7 linked regions of the Mus musculus genome follow. The protein of the gene in region 7 interacts with the protein of the main gene of each other region in a pairwise test. Links are inferred from orthologs where the notes say so. Each region holds a gene or a part of one and is shown on either strand. Other genes may lie near its edges. The genes, in order: Dydc1, Nab2, Ndor1, Krt16, Cdr2, Nme7 and Tchp.

Region 1 (3,500 bases), on a different chromosome or scaffold from region 7:
GAGGTGAGAGGGGAGACCTACTGTGTGTCGTGGGACATGAACACATATCTTAGAACAGAATCTTACTTTTTGTATCAGTGGTGTCTTGGTTAGGGTTTTACTGTTGTGAACAGACACCATGACCAAGGCAACTATTATAAGGACAACATTTAATTGGGGCTGACTTACAGGTTCCAAGGTTCAGTCCATTAGCATCACGGTGGGTGTATGGCAGCATCCAGCCAGGCATGGTGCAGGAGGAGCTGAGAGTTCTATATCTTTATCTGAAAGCAGAATACTGGCTTCCAGGCAGTTAGAATGAAGGTCTCAAAGCCCATACCCACAGTGACACACCAAGTCCAACAAGGCTACACCTTCTAATAGTGCCTCTCCCCAGGTCAAGCATATACAAACCATCACAAGTGGCTAAAGTTTTAATAAGGGCACTGTCAATACCAGAATGGGCATGGTGGCATACATATGTGATCACAGTGCCTCAGGCTGGTAAGTTGTGATTCCTTCCAGGCATGCCTAAAGCTATATAGTGAGACCCTGCCTTAATAAAACAAAAGCAAAACCAAAAAACAAAAACAAACAAACAAACAAACAAAAAACCTATGGAAGTGACAGCCCAGATGGATATTTTGGTGATAAGGCACAGGTGTGCAGTGTCTTGAAACAAATTTCAAAGTGAATACAATTTGGACATTCTGTTTGTACTGGAATATTTTAAAGCTACAATGTCCTGTTATGTTGCCCATAGAATTGCTTACAAATTATGTGTATTAAAATTCCAAGTGGATTTAAAAATAGTTTTTAGTGCTTCATACTAGAATTCTCATACCATTAGCTGGCAGTAGTAGACGTGAATTCTACCAACTAAAAGTGATGAGTCTTAAGTGCTTAACTCAGAAATTTTATTTCAAAATTGAAAGAAAAGGGGCATGCTCATATTGAAGCCATGTGAAAGTAGAAACTGAATTTTGTGACTGTAGGAATTGGTGATGGACTCGGGTAAAACCCTAGCGGAGATCAGCGATCGGTACGGGGCGCCTAACTTGAGCCGGGTGGAAGAACTTGATGAGCCAATGTTATCTGATGTAAGTATCAAGATCCCAGGACAGATTGGTTTTTGTGTTGATAATGTCTAGTGTGTATGGGATTGGTTTGTAAATAATAGTTTCCTTTATGTTAAAAAGGCCAAAAGTGCAGGTGCTAATAATCAAAAAAAAATTTTTTTAAACCTTTATTTTATGTGTATGGATATTTTGCCAGTATGTCTCTATGTCTGTGTACCATACATCTGCAGTGCCAGTGGAGGCCAGAAGAGGGTGCCAGATCCCCTGGGAGAAGGTTCTGAGCTGTTCTATAGGTACTGGGATTCAAATCCAAGTCCTCTCCAACAGCCAGTGCTCTTAACTGCTGAGCCACTGCCCCAGCCCCGCTAACCAAATTCTTAACTGGTGTTCTGCCTGTGAAGGAGGCCCCACTGGCATAACTCTATTTACATGTATAGCTCTATATCTGTCTATGTTTCAATCAGTGGATAATAATCTGTATCTATATATTTTACAGTTGGAATTTGAAAGCATCAAAACTTCTTAGAAATACATGTGTAAGGGAGTGGGAGGGACTAGAATGTAAATAAATGAAAGAAATAATAATAATAATAATAATAATAATAATAATAATAATAATAAACAATAAAAACTACCAAGATCACAAAAAAGAAAAAAGAAATACATGTGCGCCGGGCGTGGTGGCACACGCCTTTAATCCCAGCACTGGGGAGGCAGAGGCAGGCACATTTCTGAGTTCGAGGCCAGCTTGGTCTACAAAGTGAGTGCCAGGACAGCCAGGGCTACACAGAGAAACTCTGTCTCGAAAAACCCAACCCCCCCCCCCAAAAAAAAGAAATACACGTGTGTAAAATAATTTTGTGAAATATGCAATCCTTAAATTCAATAGGGAAAGAACCGTTTTGGCTCTCTGGAACAAACTCTGTAAACACATACATAGTTTAGTGAGAACAAGTGTTTTTATAGTATATTATTGCACATGTGCATTTATCACGCATACTGTGATGTCCATGCCAGGCATTGTGCCAGACGTAGTGGGGAGTAAGGCAGCTTTTCACCTGCTCGAGTTTTCTGCTTAGAGGAGGAACGCGATCTGAACAGCACTAGGTGCTTATCAGGAGAATGACCAGGAAATCTACTATTTATACCCATGTGGTTTATGGCTGAAAGAAAGGTCTATGAATAACTGAATCAGATCATCAGGGGGAGTGTCTTGCCAGGAGCAAGAAGACACTTAGTTGTCAATTTGTGATACCTGGAATTGAATTTGAATCTCTCTCTCTCTCTCTCTCTCTCTCTCTCTCTCTCTCTCTCTCTCTCTTTCTTTCTTTCTTTCTTCTTGTTGTTGTTTTGAGACAGGATTTCTCTGTGTAGCCCTGGCTGTCCTGGAACTCATTCTATAGACCAGGCTGTCCTCGAACTCAGAAATACACCTGTCTCTGGCTCCCAAGTGCTGGGATTAAAGGCATGCACCACCACTGCCTGGCGAATTTGAATTTCTTCCACCAGATTAGCCGGTGGGGGCATTTTCTTGAATGCTAATTCATGTAGGAGAGCTACCGTGGGCTTGGGCTGAATAAGAAATTAGGAAAGTGAGGGAATCAGTTGGCAAGTCGTGGTCTTGTTAGGGTCTGAAAATTGCTGAAGGAAGACTCCAGATTCAAATAGTATGCAAAGACAAAGAGTGTTTATTCTGCAGAAATAACCAGTATGCATAGGGGTCAACCATTCACCAAAATGGCCAGTCCATAGGAGCTCCTGGCCCTTTTTAATGTAGGGCTAGAGGAATTTTCCAGAAGGATTAGGTAATTTCTAATGTGATTGGTAGGGCCAAAGTGGTGACATTAGTAGAATTTTGGTCGGCTGCTATGTTCTTCTATATTTGGTGAGACCTTAGAGAGTTGGTTAGGTAATCTAAGGTTTCATTGATGGGTGATGAGGATGCTCCATGGGTTGTTTTCTGATTGGCTTGTGCCAGGTGGTCTGTGGTCTGCATTTCTCTGTCATGAACGTTTAGCCACAGGATGAGATACCTAAACCATACAAGGCTGCCCAGCATAGATGGTCAACCTGAGATATTTCCCTGTTCTTGTGGTTATCTCCAGGCTGTCTTTGGATGGGGGAATTTTATGGAGCTGGTGACTTATAACCTAGTTCCTGAGACAGATAGATGTCTTTCCTTTTGAAGCCAGGCCTGGTCCTGAAATGGAGGTGACGCTGTTCTTTCAGTCTGGCCTGGTCTAGTCATCTATGGTTTTTGCTTCAGTTCTTGCCCCAGCTTCCCTCAGTGATGAGTTGTGACCTGGAAGTATAAGCAAGATGCTTCCTCCTCCTCCTTGCCACGTTGCTTTGGCTGTGGTGTTGGTCACAGCAACAGAAAGCAAGCAAGCTAGAACAGGCACGTCTTGTTACTTCATTCTGTGGGTACTGAGAGGGTGAGAC
Region 2 (4,252 bases), on a different chromosome or scaffold from region 7:
TTGACTTTCCTACTGTTTTTTTTCCCCTTTACCACCACTGGGAGGTCCATCCAAAGACTGTCTGCTTTAAATAATACCCAGGAACTGCCTGTACTTAAAGACAGGGGTGGGGATATTGTCCCTATCAGGGCCTCCTGCACCTAGGATGTGAGCAGTGCGGGGCTCACTGCTATTATCTCAGCTTCCCTTTGGGTGACAAGAACGTAAAGCAGCAGCAGGGGTTGGGTATGTGTGAGTGTGGGGAAGGAGCTTGGGTGGTCGTGGGGACAGTCATACAGAGGTGGAAGACGGAAGAAGTCTCAGAGGCAAGTGAACTGAGCCCCAGGAGTGAAGGGCAGCCTTGAGGACCCGGGGTCCTCACCTCATGCAAGCTAAGCTGTTTGCCCTCCCGCCTTTTGGAGTCCAGGCGGCCGTAGATGACGCTGTACTTCCGGATCTCCTCTTCCTTCTGGGCGTCATGATCGTCCATCTCAAAGATGTGCCCCACGCTCCGCGCCAGCTTCTTATTCAGCTTCAACAGGGATGCGATCTCTCCAGTGTCACCCCTGGGGAAACTCCGGAAGATCCTCTCCACACTCTCCACCACCATTCGCACCATCTCTGGTTCCAGGCGGTCTGGACCACCCCCTGCACCACCAGCTGCCACCCCCCCAACCCCAGGCCCTTCAGAGACTCCTCCCCCTGCAGGTGGGGAGAAAGGGGGAGACCCGGCCTCCTCTTCTCCCCCTGCTCCAACATCAGATTCTGGAGTGCTCTGGCCTGGCCAGATCCGGGGATCCCCTGCCCCAGGTCCTCCAGGGAGTGGCGACAACTTCTCTCCAAGTTCGAGGGGACTCTTGGGGCTAAAGCTTCGAGCACTGCCCGCCTTTTCTCCTGGGCTGCCGTGCCCATTGCTCATGCTCCCTTTCCGGGTACCAGCTGTCTCAGAGATCTTGAAAAGTGGGATGCTGGAGACGGGCACAGCAGGCACTGGTTGGCTGAAGAGCCCTGGATTGGTGGCCCATTCTCTCAGAGCCTTCTGTAGACGTCGGACATGGAGTGGTTTGGTGGCCATGCCCACGAGTGCCATGATTTCCAGGAACTCCTCCTCGCCAGCCTCACACAGCTGCTGTACATCATCTCCTCCCTGCTGGATGAAGGTCTCGTAGTAAGAGAGGAGGTTGGCGCGTTGCAGGACCCGATACAGCTGTAGCTCACCCAGTGTCCGAGGCAGTGCCATGGCTGGGGCACTTGCCCTGAGGAGAAAGGGCAGGAGAGAGGCAGTGAGTATGAGTGCCCTGCTGGGGTACCAACCCACACTAACAACTGCCCTCTTTCCTGGACAGTGCCCTCCGATCCCCAGGAGCACAGAAGGCCGGTTGCCCGACCTAAGCTATCAGGAAAAACGCTTACCTCGTCTTTTACTTTGATCTTTCTGGTCTGGGCAGCACCATCTTGAGCCCTGAGACTTTTCATAACTTCCCTGAAATGGCTGGACCCACTTCCCTCCCAACTAAGTCCTTACCTCTTCCCCCTAAATACTCAGCAGCCTCAACATTACTTAATGTAACATCCCATATTAAAGTTAACTTAGAATACTAAGAGCTATTGCTGGCAGCTGTACTCCTTGGCCAGGTAGCTGAGAGGGAGGGGTGTGGCCTCTTCCTTGGCATTTAGGGAACCTGGTAGACCCTTGCTCCTGTTCTTCGCTTCCAAGGATTAAAGCACCCTTCCTAGACTCTGTCCCAACTTTCCAAAGGCTGCCCAGTTCCCTTCAGTTACCCCCTCTCCTTTGATTGATCCTTCCTACTATTCAGCAGGCCCCTCTCTTCTGGGAAAGGGGGAGGGAAGCCTTGATTGTTCTGCTCTGGGGCCCTTCTTCCCACACACTCCCACAGTAGCAGCGTCTGTGGGCGAAAACCGCCTGGGGGCTCCCGCCTACTCTCCTCTCGCTTGTTTTCCACCCTTATCTTCGACAAGGGAGTGCGGGAGAGGTTGAAGGTCTCTTGAGGAAGGGGCTGCACCCCTCCTCACCCTGTGAATGGTCATTTCACGGACAAGGGAGGCCTGAAGCACACCCCCTTCAGGCCCGCAGATGCTTAACTCAAAGGAACCACCTTCTCCCGGATGCCTGCTAATGACACACTGAGACAGCTAAGAGCCGCCACCCCTCACACTGTTGACAGATCAAGCTCTGGAGCTTCCCCTGGCTGGGGGGACATTCTTTGCAGGGGGCTCATGTGCCAGGTTATGCCCACTGAGTAAACCTGGAGTGGAAAACGAGGCAGTACTCTATCGTATCCAGGTTCATCGGGTCTTTGTTTGCTTCCAGGATCCCCTATTTCGAATACTCACCCCCTTTTCCATCAGTCTCCACCTCCCACCTCCGTCCCGCTTCCCCACGTCCTCTTTTCGACCTCCACCCTTTAGACCCCATTCCGGAGTCCAACTCCACCCATCTCCACTCCCTGCCACCTCCTTTTGCCCACTAACTTGAATCTGGGTTGCGGGGTCCGGCGTGTGTTATCCCCTCTGCCAGGTGGCTGTTCCGCTGTGGGAGAGGGAGCTCTGTGCATGGACGGCCAGAGATCACCAGTGCCTCCCCTCTCGGTGCCCGGCGCCTGCTGCGCGCTGCTCTTTGCCTGGCGCGCGCGGCCCGGGTCCACCGCTGTCCAGGCTCCGTCCCTCCCTCCACGTCTTCTCTCTCGGAGCCTCCGCGCCTCTGTCTGTGCCTCTGCCCCCACCTCCCCGGCTGCGCTTGCCGCCTCTCCGCGCCTCCTCCCCCGCAGGACGCACAGGGAGCGAGGCCCGGCGCTGCGCTGGCTGCCGGGCTGGCGGGAGGAGGGCGTGGGCAGAACCGGGGGCTGGGACCGGAGGCGGTGGGTGGGAGCCCAGGCCTGAGCCTTGGAGAGGCTGCTGTGGAGACTGAGAGGAGGAGACTTGGGGGAAGGGGGGGGGGGGGAGGTGTGGAGGCGGAGCGGGGACTCAGGAATCGGGCGCTGAGTTGGGGACCGAGGTGACCGAGGCCGAGCTGTGGAAGGGGGAGCTTGGGGACCCAACGGGCGGGGCAGGTCGCTCCTTGCCGCCCACGCCGGATGCACAGCCGGCCCTCTCTGCGCCCACGTACCCACGTGAGCGCCCCGCCGGCTACATTCCTACTCCCTGCACCACTCCTACTCCTGTGAGCCGAGAGCGCAGTTTCACAACCACGCACAAGTATACAAAGACACGCGCACGTACGTGCACACGCGTCCAAACAACGACGCGGACGCCCGTTGGCCGCACTCTGGCCGCGCCGAGCCGTTAGTTTGAATGTTAGAAGTGATGGGGGAAAAGTTAGCGAAGGGTCGGGGTGTGCTGTTCCTCCTGCTCGGCTCCCCTAGGATGTATCCTTAGGGTAAACCTGTTAGCGCGGGGCTGCGCAGGAATCCCTTCGGTATCTTAACACCGTTCTCTGGCCTAAAGGTTGTAATATGAAGAGGCGGCTCTCAAACCTTGGTCGTAAGTTATACTAGAATCTACTATTTACTTGAGCGTTGGTTAGGCACGTCGGGGTTGCTAGGTAGAGCCCGGATGGGTTTACCATGTTTTCGTGGCACCCTCTTTTCTGATGGCCAGGCCTTACTGCTTGGACGACTAGATAGCAAAGCCAGGAAAAGGCAGGTACCTTCTCTGAGGTCATGAGTTATTGAACCTCTCTGGACAGTGAAGTGGAAGCTGAGCAAAAGGCTAAGAGTAGTCTACGTGACTGTCCACCGTGGAGGACCGCCTTCAAGGAGCCCAACCCCCTCGGTTTCTTCTAGTCCCATCTGGTTCCCATTACACGCCCACGGCTAGGAGGGTTGGGGGGGGGGTATTGGGCACGCGGGGGTTGTGTAGGCCTTTGGGGAAAGGGAGGGTGGGGGTGGAAAGCGTGGCCGACTGGCCAGAGGAAACGTCCCTCTAGTTTGAAACCTCGGCTCCGCCCCTCTGCTCAGCACTTGTGAGTGGCTTGCCCCAGCAGGGCGTGGGTGGTGTGGGTCGGGGCGGGTTCTACATTCCAGATTCATTCCAGACTGACGAGGAGGGGGATCTCTTGGTTTCCCGAAGAGGGATGGGTACTTTAGGAGGAACGATTTCAATAGCTCAGGTTTTTGTCTTCCAAACATACTAGGGATTGTAGGAAGGTGCAGGGTCCTTCTCCCGACCCTTTGCTACTAAGGAGGGCGCGACTAGACGGCCTTTCCTTCAATGTGTGCGGCGCCCCTCCCCCACTCCCCCGTCCGGTTATTTT
Region 3 (3,500 bases), on a different chromosome or scaffold from region 7:
GAACAGATCTCAGGATAAACAGAATCACTGTTGGAATCACACATTTGTGTCCACTCTCACCAGCTGGACTACGAGCTGGCGGTATAGCCCAGCTTCTGCCTGTGGCCAGTGAGATGACCGCCCATGGCAAGCACATAGGGTTCTTTTCACAACTCTTTCTGCCAGGCCAAGCTCCTTCAGAGGCTGTCCTTGTGTCCTTGGCTTTAGCTAATATCTAGGCTGCAAGGGTGTGTAAGCACTCTGGCTGGCGTAGGCTCTTAGGCATGTATAGTCTTGGTATTGGTGATAACAAGTCTTTGCTGATTACCAGAATCCAAGCGTGCATGGACTTCAAAGCTTGGCCAGCATTCTGGGCTCTGCTTAGTGGGTGGAACGGTCTAGCAGCATGAAGAGCACCCCTAGTAAAAGGAGCGGCATGAAGATGACCACCAGCCCGAGCAGTTCAAGGACCAGTAGGCTCAGCAGTGACAAGCGGCGGGCACAGGGGCCACGTTCCCGTAGTGCCCACAACCAGGTGCCTAGGCTGGGAGGGCAGGGCAGGAAGGGGAGACAGCTTCGCCCTCCCACAGGCCCTGCCAGGAAGCGCAGCTGGTAGCGGTGCTCTAAGGGACCCCAGGGCCAAGGGCCAGGATGCAGGGCTGTGACGGATGCAGTCCGCATTGGGCGCTGGGGTCCATCAGCTCGAAGCAGTTCCTCCTGCAGCTGACAGATCTCCCACTCTAGCATAGGTGTCTTCTGACGACACAGTGGACAGCACACACGGCCCAGGTCAGCTCTGGGGGTCATGCCTAACAGCTGGTGTAGGCAGCCCACACACAGGCTGTGACCACAGTTTAGCAGGGTCAGGTGGTGCTCACTAGGCCCATAAGGCTCAGCACAGATGGGACATTCCTCCTCCTCCACAACCTGCCCCTCACCTTCCTGCTCTTCCACAGTTGACTCCAGGGCCCTGGCAGCGGATGGGTCTCTGGCCTCCAGTTCCGGTTTACTGTCTGGAGTTCTGGCACCCAGAGGGGCCCTGAGATCATCCTCTCCATCTGCTGGTAGCTGGCACAGTGGGTCCAAGAGCTCAGGACCCAGAGAAGCACCGGGTGAACTAGTAGACACAGAGCTGGTGTCATTAGGTCCCAGGTTACCACTAGAACAGAGGTCAGGATGCGTAGACGGAGACTCCAGGATGACTGCAGGGATTGTTGTAGATATGAAGGTGTGGCCCTCAGGAGCCAGGCAGAGCTTGGCCTCCACCCATCCACCTGAGCACTAACCTCTAGATAACCCTTTCGGCTTGCTGACCTCACTGGAAGTAAGCTTCACTTGGGTCCCCGCAGCATGTCAACTCTTGGTATCTGAGGCCTAAGAGTGGTGTTGGTCTGGTCCCTGTTTTCCACAAGCTGACAGACAGAACCGAGGTTCCTTAGCGCCCAGCTGCCCTTGGACCTGTCTGACTGCTCCAACAGGGTTTCCTTCCCAGCAGTGGAGGCCCTGCCCATGGGCGGGCCAACACAAATCACACCCCCTCCACCTGATCATTCTTTCAGTTCTTTGGAAAGAATAGTGCATGCTGGCTCTTGGCTGGGACTTCCAAATAAATAGCTCTCTAAGCCCTCTCTGCTTGGCCATGAGAGAAGGGTATATGAGCTTGGCTGAGTTGTGTGGCCATCAGAGAAGGGGACTAGCTTGGCTAAACTGTCAGTACAAGCCTGTGCTCATGCCCTGGAGGGCTCTTTGCCCACCACTAGCAGATGCAGATAATCCATGTCCCAACCACCACTCTCAAATCTAGAAGCAATAAAAGAGAAGTGAGCGGCTACCCAGGCAGTTAACTCATGTTTATGGACCTGCAGACAGACAGATTTGCCCATTCCCAATGCTCAGGAGACTTGGTCCCTGGTGGCTTTTCAACTGAGCTGAGCTGCACAGGTGTTATGGGACTAATGGGAATAGCACGGGGTCAGACGGGCAGTGCAGCCCGCACAGCTCTATGTCCTTTGGAGGGCTTAGCAGGCCCTTGGTGGTAGGGACTATAAATGCAGATTTGGGGCAGAATGAAGGGGTCTGAGAGAAAACCAGGAGTTCTAGCTGCACCGGGGCTGGGCCTACGTATGGGACACTGGGTTCCACTGAGTTTGGCTGTACGCAAGGACTGCCCTCCTGGTCAGCTGGACCAAAAAAGCGAAACTGTGGGTCTACCCAGTGTTCTGGGATTAGAAGGCAAGAGGTAACAATGGGCCTTCTAGACTCCAGCAGGCTACCCAATGCAGCTGTTAATGTGAGTGTGAGCTAGCAAGTGGCTCCTCAGGCCCAGGTTTCAGTCTGGAAGCGCAGTGTCTGCTGGAGCCTAGCAAGGTAGGCAGATGCATCTGCAGTGGAGAGTCGTCCTTCTTCTTGAAAAATGGACATAAGGGCTTCCGAAACATCCGTAGGCAAATATTTAGCATTGCTGGAAAGGCAGGCCTCAGAAAGCTCAGTGATCCCGATTCCCAACCCTTACTACTACCCTTCCCTAAAGGCTGGTCCACCCCCCGACATTCCCAAGTTTGCTCACCCTGCTAGGTAGAAGTAGGCACCTTGGCCATCCAGCAGCTCCCAGACAAGTGGCCCCAGCTCTCGAAGCCGGTGCTGCACATATACCTTCTGCTCCTGCAGGTGTCAGAGGCTAAGTTTCAGCCATCCCAACTCCTGTCCTATCTAACTTGAATATACTCACCTGCTCCCGGGAGAAGGCTGTAACCAGGGTCAGCCAGCCCTTCTGCTCTAGCTTCTGCCATTCAGTCTGCCAGTAGAAGTCCTGATCCCGCTGGCGGCAGCCAAAGAACAAGAAGTTTCCTGGGGTACATAGGGCGGTCCCCGTCTGGATGCAGAAATTCAGCTAGACCAGGCTCAGTGGTCAGGTCACACTGCTTTGGAGCTCCAGTACTCACCAGTTTGGCCATGAGCCACTCGTTCCTGAATGGCTGCTCGGAAGGGGGCCACACCAGTTCCAGCCCCCACCATGATAATGGGTGTGTCTGGTGTTTTTGGGAACACGAGGCTCCCAGGACGTACCCACAGAGGCACCCGGACAGGTCCTGCTGCAGAAGGGAAATGGCATGTAGGAGGTCAAAAGACAGTGCTAAGGTGCTAAGTGCTTGAGCTCCTGGGGTAGCAGGAACAGGGGAAGATGGGCACTTGAGGCTATACTCTCTCCCAACCCCGAGCCCCAGAACTATGGATTTACCTTGCCCAGGATTCAGGGATGCTAGCCAGGAGGAGCAGAGACCATGGCGGGGCTCCTTCAGACGAGTCTGGTACTTTACCACAGCCACAAGGATCTGTAGCCTCCTGGGATGAGCCTATGGACACAGTGATGGCACTGCCCTGCTAAAGCACTCCTGCCTACTACCAACCCCAGGAGGGACAGTCCCTGGTAGAGAGGCAGCCCCCATCTACACACGCCCTACCCAGTCCCAGTTTTTTCAGCCAGTCTTCAGTTTTACTCAGAGTCCCTCACCAGTAGGGAG
Region 4 (4,080 bases), on a different chromosome or scaffold from region 7:
AAAAAGCTTTATTAGCCTACCACCATGAGAGGGTAGGGGAGACAGATGGGGAATGCGCAAAGAAAACAGGGTCCTGCCCCAAGCCCTCAGCTTGAGAGGCAGTTGTGGGTGAGGAGGCTCTAGGCAAAACATTAGTCCCTGGAACTCTGACTTTGGCTCTGGCTGAAGCTGGTTGAACCTTGCTCCTTGAGGATGGACCGGGGCTGGCGGGAGGATGAGGAGAAGACTGCAAAAGAAAAAGAAAAAGGTAAGGTGGATTCTGGGAGCTAAGCAAGCTTCCAAGAAGGGAAAGGGAGTCCTAGGACTCTTAAGGAAGGCCTTAGCCCTGACTCTGCAGAGTCAAGCTGTTGGTCTCAGGAGCCTTACCTTCTCGAGAAGAATAGGACTGTCCAGAGGAGTGCTGTGAGGAGGAGCTGCTGGGATGAGGGAAGAAGAAACAGCAGCATTAGATGTGCAGGGAGCAGCAGAAGCAGAGGTACTGTGAGCAAGGACTCAGGGTCAACTCACTGGATATTCTCGCCATCCAGCAGACGGCGGTAGGTGGCGATCTCCTGCTCCAGCCTTGTCTTCACATCCAACAAGATGTTGTACTCCTGGCTCTGCTGCTCCATCTCGCAGCGAAGCTGAGCCAGCTGCTCCTCCACACTGCTGATCAAACCCTGGATCTGGGACAGCTGCATACAGTATCTGCCTTTGGTCTCTTCTAGGCTGTTCTCCAAGGATGCTTTCTGTGAGGGAAGAAAACAGGAATGAAGATCAATGGTGATGCTCACCTCTGTCTCTGCTGAAACCCTGGGCACATTATTGAGATAGGTACATAGATCTTGACCCCAGCTGGAGCAGTATTTAGAAGAGACATATTGGAAAAAATGTTTCCCAAACATTCAGGCTTTAATTTCTCAATCTCTATAATGGATACCATGGCGCTTCCAGTCTCATTCCCTGGTGGCTCCTGAGGGATGGGGACTACTGGACTGCACTAGGGCCCCTTCTTCATACCATGCTGAGCTGGGACTGCAGTTCAATCTCCAGGCCCTGGAACACCCTGCGGAGCTCAGCCACCTCGCTGCGGTTGCTCTGGATTAGATCACTGTTAGAGGCCACCTCTTTGTTCAGCTCCTCAGTCTGAGACAGAAGAGAGGGAAAGGTGTGAGACTCTCCAAAGCCTACTTGGCCAAGAGTCATGGAGTAGGGAGGAAGCGGGCCCCCACCTTTCTCAGGAACCAGGCCTCCACATCTCTGCGGTTCTTCTCTGCCATCTGCTCATACTGGTCCCTCATCTCATTCAGAATGCGGCTGAGGTCCACACCGGGGGCTGCGTCCATCTCCACATTGACGTCCCCACCAGTCTGACCCCTCAAGGCAAGCATCTCCTAGGAAAGATCACAAGAGCATGGTCACATCTCCTGGGAAACTCACCACACCAGCCCTCCATCCCCAAACCCAGCAGGAGCCACACCTCCTCATGGTTCTTCTTCAGGAAGGCCAGCTCTTCTCTGAGGTTTTCAATCTGCATTTCCAGGTCAGCTCTGGACAGGGTCAGCTCATCTAGCACCTTGCGCAGGCCATTGATGTCACCCTCCACGGACTGCCGCAAGAACAGCTCATTCTCGTACCTGGAAGGAGAGAAGTCAAAGCTGAAGATGGACCTACTGTGTCCCTGGCCTCTGCCCTCTGCCCTCTGCCCTCTGCCCTCTGCCCTCTGCCCTCTGCCCTCTGCCCTCTGCCCTCTGCCCAGCATTTTGGCTGCTCACTTGGTCCTGAAGTCATCAGCTGCCAGCCTGGCATTGTCAATCTGCAAAGTGAACTGTGCATTCTCCTGGGTGGCAATAATGATCTAGAGAGAAAATGAAAAGATGCGAAGTCAGATCACCCAGAGACCCTACGACTCAAGGACAGAGAAGAGCAAAAGGAGCCACCCCAAGCCCAGCAGGCCAGCTCCTAAAGCTTCCAACAGCTGATTACATACTTCTCTACACAGCTCAAGTTATATGCACGTGCACTCATGTCTACCATCACCCCTATCCTGGGCACAGAGTTAAGGAGCTAAGCTTGCAGCATAAAGTATCCTCCAGGAGATTAAGAGTCAGGGTCCCAGGTCCACCTGAGGCATGGATGTTCTTAAAGGACCCTCAGCCCCTGCTCTGGATAAGTATGACCATTAACCTCCAAAGGTCTTTAGTCTTCTTGCCTATGTATTAGCCTCTCTAAAACTGTCTTTGCTAAAGGCCACTGTAGTTCTAACCTCTCATCCACCAGAGCCACCCACCTTGCTCTTCAGGTCCTCAATGGTCTTGAAGTAGGGGCTGTAGTCTTTGATCTCAGTGGGCCGCTGCCTCTGGTACCAGTCCCGGATCTTCACCTCCAGGTCTCTGTTGGCCTCTTCCAGGGCACGCACCTTGTCCAGGTAGGTGGCCAGGCGGTCATTGAGGTTCTGCATGGTCACTTTCTCACTGCCCACCAGGAGCCCATCACCAATACCACCGCCAAGACCACCACCAAGACCAGCACCAAAACCACCACCAAATCCATCAAATCGACCACCAAATCCACTACCAAGTCCTCCACCAAAACTGCTGCTGCTGAAGCTCCCACCATAGCCACCTCCAATCCCACAGACTCCCCCAGAGGAGAAGCGAGAGGAGGTAACTGACATGCCCCCGCAGGTGCTGGGAGCCCGGCAGGATCCTCCAGCCAGGATGGAGGACATGCGGCTAGAGCCACCACCGATGCCACAGGAGCCCTTCATGGAGCTGGAGGAGGTGAACTGGCGGCTGCAGGTGGCCATGCTGAGGAACTGGAGAGTGTGGGCAAGTGAGCAGGGAGAAGAGAGAACTGCTCAGTGGAGGCTGCAGATGCTGAGGGTGCCTCAGACTCCAGGTTCTTTTATATGCACCAGGGGAAGGCGGGACCTCCAACTGCTGACTCCAGTTCCCCTGGGGATTTCCTCAGTCAGTCCTGTCTAACACCCTATTCTGGGTTGTTCAGCCCAGGGTGGACTCTCTCTCTTCCATTGCTGGCTCAGAGTTCCTGCCCAGATCTGTGGGTGTGGGGCCAAGAGAAAAACACACAAATTCAAGTCACTACTGACTCACGTTGTGTAGTCAGAAATGGGCTTCTGTTCCAGGAGCCTGAGGGGAGAGCAACAAGGAGCCCTAGGTGCAGGCAACCTCTGGCAGGCGCGTCCTCAGGCTGTGAGTCAACCAGTCCCTGCCCCACAGTGAGAACCTTTGGTGGCTAGAGTCTCACTGATGTCATCCCAAAGTTGGATACTGTCGTATGAATCCTACAAGGCACGTGGTAGACCTAGGTTGTTCAACAGGGATCCTGAAGTCTTTCACCTCCCCTCTCTGTGCCTGCTCTCCCTCCACAGGGACAAGTCTGGGCTGGGTAGCTGCAGTCCTTTCTAGTTCTAAAAAATCAGAGGTTTCCATTCCCATAGGATCTAGTTTGCATTTGGAAGCTGCCTTTGAGACACCAGGATGTCCAGAGTGGTGTCCACCATAGCATCCACACACTATGCTGCCACAGACCCACTGCCTCTCACTCACTGCCCAGTACAGAGGACCTTGTCATCCTTCTGGGCCTCAGTTCTTTTAGGACACATACAAGTCACAAAGAAGCATGCCTGCAGGACCCTTTCCCTGTGGTCAGCCTCTCCATCCTCCCTCTGCAACCTTGCTGCTTTTCGATCCAACCTTTACATTCTGACTCCTAACGTAAAACCCCTGCACTAAGAGAATGCCCAGCCACAGCTCCTCCATGCCACCTCCTGCCCTCACCCACTCAGGGACACCCCCTTGCTCTGCTGTGGATTCAGTAGAAGGGAATTCTATCTTGCTTCTAATACTGTCTGTCTGTCAACAGCCCTACCCCCACTCTGCCCCTTCATGGTCTCAGAGTTCCCATGTGGAAACCATCTTGCCCAGGAACTGCTCAAGCTGGGCGTGGTATCTTTGTTCGCCCAGTGTGCACAGGGCTTTGCACTGGTAAGGAATACCTGTCATGCTTGCTACACACTTCTCAGAAGCAGGCCCATGGTGGGTGTTGTTCCCAACACCAATCTACAGGTGACAGAGG
Region 5 (3,500 bases), on a different chromosome or scaffold from region 7:
ACCTGTGTCACCATAATTGCTGGGATTTTTAAAGTAAAAGCCTTGTCCTCTGGCAACCCCAGCAAGCTAAGCTCAGTCACCTATCTTCAGTACACCATTAAAGAGACAGATGATTGGGAGGCAGAGGCAGGCGGATTTCTGCGTTCGGGGCCAGCCTGGTCTTCAGAGTAAATTCCAAGACAGGGCTATACAGAGAAACCCTGCCTCAAAAAACCAAAAAGAAAACATAAATGAAAGAAAGAAAGAGAGAGACAGATGATAGTGAAAAACAAAAGATTTATTTAACATGGCTATCCTGGGAAGAGGAACAAATATGAGAGGCCTACATCCCCATGTCCATTTAAGGGATTACTAACATGAGGTGTAGGTGACTAGAGAACAGGAGGTTTATATAACTAAGCAGTGCTGATCAAGGTGAGGTCCTGCCTATGTTGTTTCAGCTCTGGTCTGTCCTATTGGGTGGGCTGATAAGTTGTCAGTCAGAACTGTATGGAACACAGCCTTTCCTCTGGTAGGGGGCTCCTGGGGGAGATTTTAATTATTTGGGGGACAGGGCACAGGTGTCTCTTGAGATATCTATCCTGTCAGGGTGTTTACATTGCCACTATTATTGTTTTGTGTTTCTTTTTCTGTTATTACTAAGTTTCTATTCCTGGGATTGTAATATAACAAAACCTGTCTTGCTTGCACATATGTCTAAGAAGGTAATTGATAAATAAGCTTTAAAACCGAGAAGCCAGATGCGGTGACTCCTACTTGTAATCATAGCATGTGGGAAGGTGAAGGAGAATTGCTGTGACTTCCCAGGACAGTGGGGGCAAGAGGAGCAGGGCTGGAATACAATAGCGCCTGGCCCCATGTTTAAGGGAAGTATGAAACAAAACCATATTGCTGCTTTGCTTAAAAGCTGTGATAGGGCTGTGTGGCAGTGGTACATGCCTTTAATCCTAGCACTCAGGAGGCAGAGACAGGCAGATCGAGGCCAGCCTTGTCTACAAAGTGAGTTCCAGGACAGTCAGGCCTCACAGAGAAACCTTGCCTTAAAAAAACAAAAAACTAAACAAAACGGAAAAAAAAAAAAAAGAAGAAGAACAAAAAAGATGTGATAGGAATTGGGGTTGGGAGAGACAGACTTGTGTGTGAAACAAGTATCTCACCACTGGCATTAATGTTTAGCTGCCCTGAGAGTCTAGGATATAGGGGGTTGGAGAGAGAGCTCAGTCATTAAGAGCATGGCCTGCTTTTGTGGAGGATCTGGAGTAGGTTCTTAGCACTCACATCAATAGGTCACAACCACATGTCACCCCAGTTCCATGGGGTCCAGTGTTGCTTCTGACCTTCAGCGGTACATAAACTCTCATAGACACACACACACACACACACACACACACACACACACACACACAAATTCAAAGGAAACAATTTAAAGGAGTCCAGACAACAAACTTTGCTTTGCCAGTTGTGTTCACAGTAGCTTGCTAGAAATTTTGGAGGCTGCTAAGAGGCCTATCTCTTTGGCTCAAGGATTCATCTCAAAAGCACAATGTCAGGATTTGAATAAGTCTTTTACCAAAAGACTATTTGGAATTGTAAGACTGAATGGTCATTTCTGAAATAATGCCCACATCTCTATGAAATAGACTACTGTCTTTTATGTCTGACAGGGTGCATGAGAGAGTCCTTCACCTGCTAGCAGGCCCCAGGTCAACTGAATTTTAAGTAGGACTCGGATTTCTTTTAGGTCATTCTGCGTTCTACTGGGACCTGACTTGCATGTGTGGGGCTTGCTTCATTTACTTTAAGAACTGAGTTATATAAAAATTGAAGTGAGCTCATTGGACTTGCTGCGTCCTAAGAGTTGTTTGTTGTGCCAGATCTCCAGCTTGCTGCTGAACTTGGAAAGACGCTACTGGATCGGAACACAGAGTTGGAAGATTCTCTTCAGCAGATGTACACAACCAATCAGGAGCAGTTACAGGAAATCGAGGTAATTTATTCAGTGGGAGAGGTACATCCTCTGATGTGTGGCTCTCTGCTGTTGTCATCGACCTCTAAAATAGCACTTGCAGCTAGAAATAGTATTCAACTTGGAAGTAGTCTTTTTTGAGAAATTGAACCACCAAAGACACTTTCTTTAGATGTGCCTAGTAGGTAAGTATGCTCTGATTAAAAATAGTTTTCTCTTCAACCTTGGTAAAGTGTGTAAAAGTAAACAATCTAGTATTTGCCAGTGTGTAAAGCAAATGCTATGAAGTTGTACTTAGTTTTTTAAGTTTCTTTTTCTTTTAGTAATAAAATTAGTTATGCAACATGGAAGGTATACAGGAAAGCACGCACATGCAGAAACACATGCAGAAAGCATGCACATGCAGAAAGCACGTGCAGAAACACATGTGGAAAGCATGCACATGCTGAAACACATGCGGGAAAGCACATGCGGAAAGACATGCGGGAAACACATGCGGGAAAGCACATGCAGAAAGTGCATGCAGAAACACATGCGGAAAGCACATGCAGAACAGGACTGTGCAGCCCAGCCCCCCCACCGCCACCCCCCAGTTTGGGGAGAGAACTGCCCAGACTATTGACATTCCCTGCATACTCTTCTTTGGTGGCACCTCCCTCCTTCCAACTAAACACCATTCCATATTTAGAGTTAGGTAGGAAGGTTTGTTTTGATGCAGTATTTGATTTTATAATTTATTTTAACGACCTGTGCTTAAACTTAAAGAATTAGTCAAATTCTTGTTATTTATTTGAGACAGGAAGTGTTGTTCTGCAATCTGGGTCGGTTTGAGACTCAGTCTCCTGCCTCAGCCTTTACAAATTTTTGTGAAGTAAACATACCGGTGCAGCCTACACTCAGATAAGGAGTGAAAACATTATCAGTCATTCACTCACTACCCCAGTAACCAGCACCCCACCCAGACACCCTGGATTAGCCTCTGTTTGAACTTCACATGAGTGTAGTGACTTGTGCAAATTTTAACCTAACTTTTACTTCGGTTTCATTTGCTTCTGTGGATTTCGAGTGCTGAATACACGCTCTGTCCCTAAGTCTCCGGGGTCCTAAACTTTTCAAAATTTTATTGACAGTTTTCCTCACTAGACAAGTAATTAAAACATGGAGTGGGAGTGTTGTTGTTTTCTAATTTACAAAAACAATAAGGCAGGTGTGGTAATGCGTACCTTTAATCGTCAGCACCCAAACTGAAGCAGGTGGGCCTGTGAGTTTGAGGCCAGCCTGATCCACAGAGTAAGTTCCAGGACACCCAGGGCTACATAGAGAAACCCTGTCTTGAAAATTGAAAAAGATAGAGAAAGAAAAACAGTTATGATTAAGAACCAAAAAGTCAGCATTTACCCCATCTCCCAGAGAGATCTAAAATGAGTTGAAACCATTGTTGAACAAAATACTGATCGGGGATGAGGGATACTGGTCAGCTGGTGAGAACAGGAGGAGGAAGTCTCTAAGACTTACTATGAAGAACACGGGGGCG
Region 6 (3,500 bases), on a different chromosome or scaffold from region 7:
AGAGAATCATTATTAAGTCCATTTTTGGTTTTGGTTTTTGGTTTTTCTTTAAAGCTTGCTTTTTAGCTGCATCTCCAATTGGTTCTGTTTCTTTCTAAACCAAAACTAAAGAAAATCAGGGTGGCAAGCAGTAAGGAAAGAATAATAAAAAGGTACATGTGGGGGTATCTGCATGTGTGCGAGAGAGTGTGCAGTGTGTGTGTGTGTGTGTGTGTGTGTGTGTGTGTGTGTGTGTGTGTGGTGCAGCTACTGGGAGGTCTTTAGGTCACAGCTTAGAAGGGCTGTTAGGACTGCAGACCCTTTTGTGCCCTGAGGTAAACAGCTTCCTCTACCACTCAATATCCTTCATAATGTGTTCTACTGCAGGGACCCAAAGCATTGAGCCAAAAAAGTCACGGAATGAAGGCTGCAAAACTCGGAGGTGAAATTAACCTTGCTCTTGCAATGCGTAAAGAGATTTGCTCAGGGATGCAGAAGACACGGAAATGAGTAAGACAGCAAGAGAAGAATCGTCCCCAGGTCCTATCCAGTCCCGAATTTCTGGGTTTTGGTATTTAAATTTATCTTAGTGGTTGCGCAGAGCAATGAGCTTCAGTGTTCCATTTTCATAATGTACCTCCTTGACCTTCACTCACAGACCGAGCTTACCCAGTCCCTTCCTCTGTCCCCTTTCAGATGAGGCTTCTGTCCCACCCTGCCCCAGGTCCTCCTGCAGGGATCTGCCCCAGTGGAGCAGTGCACTGCCCACTCCGTCCCACTGGGTTGTCCTTTTTGTTTGCCCACACATTATAGTTGACATAATTGTCTTTTAAAAATTTATTTTTAGCTAATATATAAAATAATGTGATTCATGGTGATATTTTTGTTATAGTCTGCTATTTTTCACACCCCACCGCCCTCCCTAATCCTGACTCACTTCTTGTTAGTCCCTTTCCCTTCACCCAGTAATCTGTTAGCTTTTATGACGTGTATATTTTATTACAATTTCTCACTCCCCAACTCCCCACTCTCTTTAAACTTCTTCCCTCCATGGTCCCCTTTCTATACTCTATCTATCTATCTATCTATCTATCTATCCATCCATCCATCAATCCACCCACCCACCTATCCATCTATCTATATTCCACATATTTAAAAAAAAAACCCACTTGATATCTTTCAGTAATCTGGCTTCTTTCACTTAATGTAATGATCTCCAGGTCTGTCCACTTCCTTGCAGATGTTAGAATTTCACTCTCTATAGCTGAATAAAATTCCCTGGAGCAAGCTACTTCTTGCTTTGTGATTTCTGATGTTCTGATCGCTCTCTCCTTGGGGCAGGGTCTATTCTCTGTTACCTTGCCTATCTCTTCTGTTAAATTGCCCTGAGGCAGCTTCTCATCATCATCTCACCCAAAGTTTCTAGAACTTCCATTCTTAACTTGAACTGTCTTTGATCTTTGTTATTTGGTTTTTTTGTTTTTTTGTTTTTTTGTCTTTTTTGTTTTTTTTGTTTTTTTGTTTTTTTTTTTTGAGACAGGGTCACATGTAACCCAAGCTGGCCCTTGACTCCCTCTGTAAACTAATATGATCTTGAACTTCTGATCTTTCTACCTCCACTTCCCACATGCTGGCATGACAGAAACGTGCCACCACCTCCAGTTTTACACGGGGCTAGGTCTCAGGCCTTTGGGCTTCATCTTTGCTAGACAAGCACTGCCCCAACTGAGCTGCTTCCTGGCATGCACTGCTGCATTTCTATTAATCACGTACACTCCTTACTTCTTCTGCATATCTACTGTTACCATAATAATTCAGATCATTGTTGTAGTAATTAAACTTTTATAAGTTTTAGCCCCCAACTTACACAAGCAGGATAGCAAATAGTTGTTCTAACTTAAGACAGGATTTCCCACCTTTGGATCTTTCTCTATACTCACTCCTTTGATTAGCATTTCTCCCCAGTTCATCTAATTGGGGTAATAATTTAATTCAGTTTTATCAAGACAGAACAAACCCACAAAGCCTTCAGTTTTGCAAGAACTAACTTCACCGTCTCCCGGGTTACCGTGATTCGTACCAGCATCATGCTTATGCTTAGGAAGAAAACCTTATGCTCAAATAGTCTTAGGTTTTAGTGACAAATATAAAAAGCAGATAGAATGTGTAAGAGCTTTATCTCTGCCACCCACCCATCCAAACAGTCACCTCCTAAGACTACAGATATTGCTTCAATATTCTAATTAGGAACCAATCCCTGAATCAGTACCAAAATATTTTTAATGTTATAAAATTATATTAGGTCGCTGGAAAAACTATGTTGTGAAAACATGACCGAGGAGAGGAAATCAGAAGTTAGTGGCCAAAGTCACAGGCAAGGTTTCAATGGAAAAAGATGGCCCGGCTGTTCTTACTTCTCTTTCCTGCTGCCCAGCTGGCGGGCTGTGTATTGGTCCCCATAGTCAATCAACACCAGCTGTCGAGAAAACACATTGACTTTGTTGCCTATAAATAGATCTTCCAGGCGCAGGTCCTCATACTTGGTCCGCTTTAAGAAGGTGCGACGATTCTTTACATCATGCTAGAAACAGACACAGTAAGAATACTTATGAAGAACGTACGCCTTACAGAGAAAAGTCTCCAATTGATTTTACAAAAGACAGCTATATCCTATTACTTTATAACTACGTATATAAATTATATTTTATACTGTGAAGCTTTATTTCCAATCCAATCTAGTGATAAAAGTTTGTAATTAAAATATATATTTTAGAATATCCTAAATAGACCAAGTTATTTCAGTAACTCACCAGCTATGAGTGACAGAGACAGATTCTCATATTTCTTTTTATGTACACATCCCAATCACTAAAAAAAATTGTATTTCCTTTAAGAGATGTGTATTCATGTGTGTCTCCCTTTCTGTGGGTAGGTACATGTGAGTGAAGGTGCAGAAGTCACTGTTGGCTTGCCAGCAGCTGGAGTTACAGTTGCTGTGAGCGGCTCGGTGTAGGTGCCGGGAACCAAACTTGGGACCTACAAGGGCAGCTAGCACCCTTAACTGAGCCTTCTCTCTAGGCTCCAACCCCAACTGAGCTGACTTTTTAAAGTGATTGCCAATGAAGTGATGCAAAGAAAGGGACCCTCTTAGAGCCTCTTTAATTTGACATTTTATACAGATACCAACTTTTAACCGTAATATTTATGACTATGATAACCATTTATCTGTAACTACTTATCAAATATTGATTAATCCCAAAAAACAGTTGTCCTACTTCATTTTGGGGTCTCTCTATATATCTACTTCTATATATGTGTGTTATATGCAAGTGTGCATCCCTACAAACATACATGATATAGGAGGTTGCCTGATGTCTTCTTCAGTCATTTCTCACATTATTGTCTTAACACAGGCTCTCTCACTGAACCTGAAGTTTGCTTTAAGTTGGGTCAGCTGGCCAGAGAGCTCCAGGGAGCTCCTGCCTCTGTTACTCAGGATTGGAGTTCTCACAGGGAACAAG
Region 7 (3,500 bases):
TCTGATGCTCTCACCTAACCTCTCAGATACCAGCACATGCAGCACACACACACTCACACACACACACACACACACACACACGCTACACACATGTGCTACACACACACTCACACACATAAATAAAATAAAAAATAAAAACCTGCGGCTGGCTGAGAGACACTTCCATGGTTAAGAGCACTGACTGTGGCTGCTCTTCCAGAGGACCCAGGTTCAATTCCCAGGACCTACATGGCAGCTCGAAGCCGTCCATAACTTCAGCTCCAGAGGATTCAACACCCTCTTCTGGCCTCCAAAGGTACCAGGCATGCTTGAGGCACACACACATCCATGCAGGGAAAGCACCCATACACAGAAAAATACATTTTAAAAACTTTTTTTTTAATTTAAAAAAGCTGGCAAAAGAGTCCACCCTTGTAGCCTTAGTCCCAGGGAAGTGGAAAGTGAGGGGGTCCCTACGGGTCCTTGGAAGTCTACTTGGGAAAGCTACAGACTTCTGAAAGACCCTCTCTCAAAAAACGACAGCTGGCTCCTGAGAAACATCACCCCCACACATGCACACACCCGCATACACACCTACACATGTGAACCCACACACACGTGCACACACGTACATGTGAATGTGTGTGCACACACACAAGAACATGCATATGAGCATGCTCAAAGCAAACCTCAGCCTGCACATGCAGCAAGCAGCCAGGCAGGCACCTGCTGCTCATTTAGCCAAGAGCATGGAGACAGGACAGAGTCACAAGTGCCGACAGTGTGTGAGGGTCACACATTCCATACCTGTTTTTTTTCTTCTTTCTGTGTTGCCCAAGAATTTATCACGTGCTTCTTGTGAAGGTCCAACTCAAGCTGAGGGTGAGAAAGAAAATGTTACTTTGCCCGAGGGCTTGTGTGAGACTGATTGAGGTGACTTGCTGTGGTCAGTGCCACCTGACCATGACTCGATACCCCAACAAAAACAGCCTGATGAGGGCCACCGAGAGGGGTCAAGTGTAAAGCCGTGGTCTGCATACCTGAGGTCCATCCCTGGCACTGCCCATGTAAAGAGCAGGACGGGATGGCGTGTGTGTGGGCTCCTTGCACCTCTGTGGTGAGGTGGGAGGCAGAGACTAGAGGACTCTCTACAAGCCCAGAAATTTAAGGGTCAGCTAGCCCAGAGTTCAACTTAGCAGCAGAAAAGGACAGACTCTGCCTCTAAGGGAGGCTGGGGGACGGGAGGAGAAGTGACGCCCAACGGTTGATCACTGACTTCCACACAGGGGCTACAACACATCTGCACCCCTCACACACACAATCGTCAATAAAAATCAACGAGCTGGGCGGTGGTGGCACACGCCTTTAATCCCGTCACTTGGGAGGTAGAGGCAGGCGGATTTCTGAGTTCGAGGCTAGCCTGGTCCAGAGAGTGAGTTCCAGGACAGCCAGGGCTACACAGAGAAACCCTGACTCGAAAAACAAAAACAAAAAAAAAAACAAAACAAAACAAAAAAAAATCAACAACAAAATCCAATCTGAATGATCAGCAAATAGGAAACCAAAGGATCACGTGCTTCTAAGCCCTGTCTACCCCTGGTCACAAAGGGCCAATGCTCTCTCTCGGAGCCCAGGGGAGGGCAGCGAGCATTTCTCAAACAAAACTGCAAATTGAAAGGAGAGCCTGGGAGACGCTGGGTAAGCAGAGCCAGCCCTGAGCTTGGCTTGCCAAAACTTCCGGCCTGAACTCAGAGACCCAGCTGCCTCCGCCTCCCCAGTGCTGAGATGGGCAGGGGCAGGGGTAGGGGCAGGGGCAGGGGCAGGGGCAGGGGCAGGGGCGGAGACAGAGGAGGCAGAGGAGGCAGAGGAGGCAGAGAGGCAGAGAGGCAGAGGCAGGTGGATTTCTGTGAGTTCAAAGCCAGCCCAGTCTACATAGGGAGTTCCAGGACAGCCAGGACTACGTAATGAGACCCTGTTTCATAAAAAACAGTCAAAGAAACAACAACAAGAAAGAAAAAAGTGAACTACTCCATCTAACTTTCTTGTTTCCTTTTTTAAATATCTTTTACATTGTGTGTGTGTGTGTGTGTGTGTGTGTGTGTTGTATATGTGTAGGCCAGAAGACAACCTGTGGGAGTTGGTTCTGTCCTTTGCCGTGTTGGTGCTGGGATGAAATTCAGGCCACCAGGCTTGGCAGCAAACACCTTTACCTGCGGAGCCATCTCACCTGGAATCACTACTGGCAATTTCTAGACACAACGAGCTACGGAAAGTGACCATGTCAGACTTGTCCTAACGTTGCTGAAGTGAGTAGACAGTAGCAGTAACTGGCATAATGCCCTCCAGCCAACCTCTGTGCAGTGACAGGTGCCAACCAAGACAGGATGCAGATATGGCCCCTGTCTCCTCCACCCAGGAGCACCAGGCTTCACCTTAGGAACCCAACACACAGCACCAGCCTGCCTGGCTCACGCTGACCATGCTGCCAAGAGGAGCATCCCAACATACAGCAGTGATCTTGCACATTGCTAAAGTGGTCCAGAGCCTCTGGAGGAAGGCCAGGCAGTGCTGGTCCAGGTCTGTCTCCCATCTCCTCACCAGCTTTATCTCTTCAGGACTCCCTAGCCATGGGGCATCTTGGTCTCACCTGGCCCTTTATAGCTTCCTCGGTTCTGTCCTCGAGGCACAGGGCAGCATTTCCAATCATCTCCATCCAGAAGGCCCTTTCCTCACACCATATTATCCAACTGAAAGCAGCATCCTGAGCCCACTGCCCAGGTCTCTGCAGCCCACTGGGCAGAGAGCTCCTAAGCCACAGAACATACCCCCAAAGGCAGGTTGCCTGTCAGAGTTCGCTGCTCAGCCCTGTCTGGCCAGGTCTTCTGCCCTCTGTATCAGCCCAACACACATCCAGACCCAGAAACAAGGAACAAAATCTGAAACCGCGGTGGTGCCTACGCAGGCGAAGCAATGGGAGGCTTCGTTCTCACCTCTCGAAGTTTGGGGTTGTTCTTCTTCCAGTGTTCATATAAAAGTCGTTCAGCAATCTATCAAGAAAACACAGGAGACGTGAGGTCACTATTCACATTCATCCACACTTAGACAAGATACAACAGAAGTCAGCTTCTCTCTTCAGTGATGACACCCCCGTCTGCCGTTAAATCCTGCTGCCTTTGCACACCAGCTCTGGAGATGGGGCATCAGAGCCAATCGGAAGGGCATGGACAAATGCCTGTCTCAGTGGACCAAGAGTCAGCTAAGATCTGATGCTATGGCTGGGTCCCTTCTAGGGGCAGAAGTTTCCAAATACATACTAAGCTAAAACACACAGACTGCAACTAGTTACCATAGCCACCCAAAACATAAAATATAGCGTTCCCAGGTATTGGTGGGACCAGAGAACTGAAAAAAGTGAAGGTGAATCCCACACAGTGACTTATAAGCCGCATACCAAACACTCCCTATAAAGGTACATAAGAGTGGATGCTGGCTTCCTGTCTGCTTCCCCTTACTCGTGCTGG

What was found.
Region 1: the proteins of Tchp (region 7) and Dydc1 interact in binary tests that used the Homo sapiens proteins (3 or more experiments, as listed by UniProt). The two-hybrid records come from large-scale screens. The link is inferred for Mus musculus from reciprocal best matches to the Homo sapiens genes TCHP and DYDC1.
Region 2: the proteins of Tchp (region 7) and Nab2 interact in binary tests that used the Homo sapiens proteins (3 or more experiments, as listed by UniProt). The two-hybrid records come from large-scale screens. The link is inferred for Mus musculus from reciprocal best matches to the Homo sapiens genes TCHP and NAB2.
Region 3: the proteins of Tchp (region 7) and Ndor1 interact in binary tests that used the Homo sapiens proteins (3 or more experiments, as listed by UniProt). The two-hybrid records come from large-scale screens. The link is inferred for Mus musculus from reciprocal best matches to the Homo sapiens genes TCHP and NDOR1.
Region 4: the proteins of Tchp (region 7) and Krt16 interact in binary tests that used the Homo sapiens proteins (3 or more experiments, as listed by UniProt). The link is inferred for Mus musculus from reciprocal best matches to the Homo sapiens genes TCHP and KRT16.
Region 5: the proteins of Tchp (region 7) and Cdr2 interact in binary tests that used the Homo sapiens proteins (3 or more experiments, as listed by UniProt). The two-hybrid records come from large-scale screens. The link is inferred for Mus musculus from reciprocal best matches to the Homo sapiens genes TCHP and CDR2.
Region 6: the proteins of Tchp (region 7) and Nme7 interact in binary tests that used the Homo sapiens proteins (3 or more experiments, as listed by UniProt). The two-hybrid records come from large-scale screens. The link is inferred for Mus musculus from reciprocal best matches to the Homo sapiens genes TCHP and NME7.

Annotation. Positions count from the first base shown.
Region 1 is NC_000080.6:41,086,411-41,089,910, forward strand, and holds part of Dydc1 (DPY30 domain-containing protein 1), read left to right. Parts: coding exon 1-3; intron 4-974; coding exon 975-1,079; intron 1,080-3,500. UniProt on the Homo sapiens protein: Functions as part of axonemal radial spoke complexes that play an important part in the motility of sperm and cilia. Plays a crucial role during acrosome biogenesis.
Region 2 is NC_000076.6:127,663,904-127,668,155, forward strand, and holds the start of Nab2 (NGFI-A-binding protein 2), read right to left. Parts: upstream 2,801-4,252; 5' UTR 2,556-2,800; coding exon 2,473-2,555; intron 1,236-2,472; coding exon 362-1,235; intron 1-361. UniProt on the Homo sapiens protein: Acts as a transcriptional repressor for zinc finger transcription factors EGR1 and EGR2. Isoform 2 lacks repression ability.
Region 3 is NC_000068.7:25,245,415-25,248,914, forward strand, and holds part of Ndor1 (NADPH-dependent diflavin oxidoreductase 1), read right to left. Parts: coding exon 3,491-3,500; intron 3,333-3,490; coding exon 3,218-3,332; intron 3,072-3,217; coding exon 2,922-3,071; intron 2,827-2,921; coding exon 2,708-2,826; exon of another isoform or gene 2,641-2,707; coding exon 2,546-2,640; intron 2,441-2,545; coding exon 2,296-2,440; 3' UTR 1,392-2,295; coding exon of another isoform or gene 1,295-1,391; 3' UTR 1,182-1,294; coding exon of another isoform or gene 843-1,181; 3' UTR 821-842; coding exon of another isoform or gene 770-820; 3' UTR 736-769; coding exon of another isoform or gene 361-735; 3' UTR 1-360. UniProt on the Homo sapiens protein: NADPH-dependent reductase which is a central component of the cytosolic iron-sulfur (Fe-S) protein assembly (CIA) machinery.
Region 4 is NC_000077.6:100,246,103-100,250,182, forward strand, and holds the start of Krt16 (keratin, type I cytoskeletal 16), read right to left. Parts: upstream 2,801-4,080; 5' UTR 2,789-2,800; coding exon 2,270-2,788; intron 1,838-2,269; coding exon 1,755-1,837; intron 1,617-1,754; coding exon 1,460-1,616; intron 1,374-1,459; coding exon 1,212-1,373; intron 1,126-1,211; coding exon 1,000-1,125; intron 729-999; coding exon 508-728; intron 417-507; coding exon of another isoform or gene 414-416; coding exon 367-413; intron 227-366; coding exon 132-226; 3' UTR 1-131. UniProt on the Homo sapiens protein: Epidermis-specific type I keratin that plays a key role in skin. Acts as a regulator of innate immunity in response to skin barrier breach: required for some inflammatory checkpoint for the skin barrier maintenance.
Region 5 is NC_000073.6:120,968,813-120,972,312, reverse strand, and holds part of Cdr2 (cerebellar degeneration-related protein 2), read left to right. Parts: intron 1-1,874; coding exon 1,875-1,987; intron 1,988-3,500.
Region 6 is NC_000067.6:164,331,672-164,335,171, reverse strand, and holds part of Nme7 (nucleoside diphosphate kinase 7), read right to left. Parts: intron 2,561-3,500; coding exon 2,394-2,560; intron 1-2,393. UniProt on the Homo sapiens protein: Possesses an intrinsic kinase activity. Displays 3'-5' exonuclease activity with a preference for single-stranded DNA. Does not seem to have nucleoside diphosphate kinase activity.
Region 7 is NC_000071.6:114,710,779-114,714,278, reverse strand, and holds part of Tchp (trichoplein keratin filament-binding protein), read right to left. Parts: intron 3,027-3,500; coding exon 2,970-3,026; intron 856-2,969; coding exon 787-855; intron 1-786. UniProt on the Homo sapiens protein: Tumor suppressor which has the ability to inhibit cell growth and be pro-apoptotic during cell stress. Inhibits cell growth in bladder and prostate cancer cells by a down-regulation of HSPB1 by inhibiting its phosphorylation.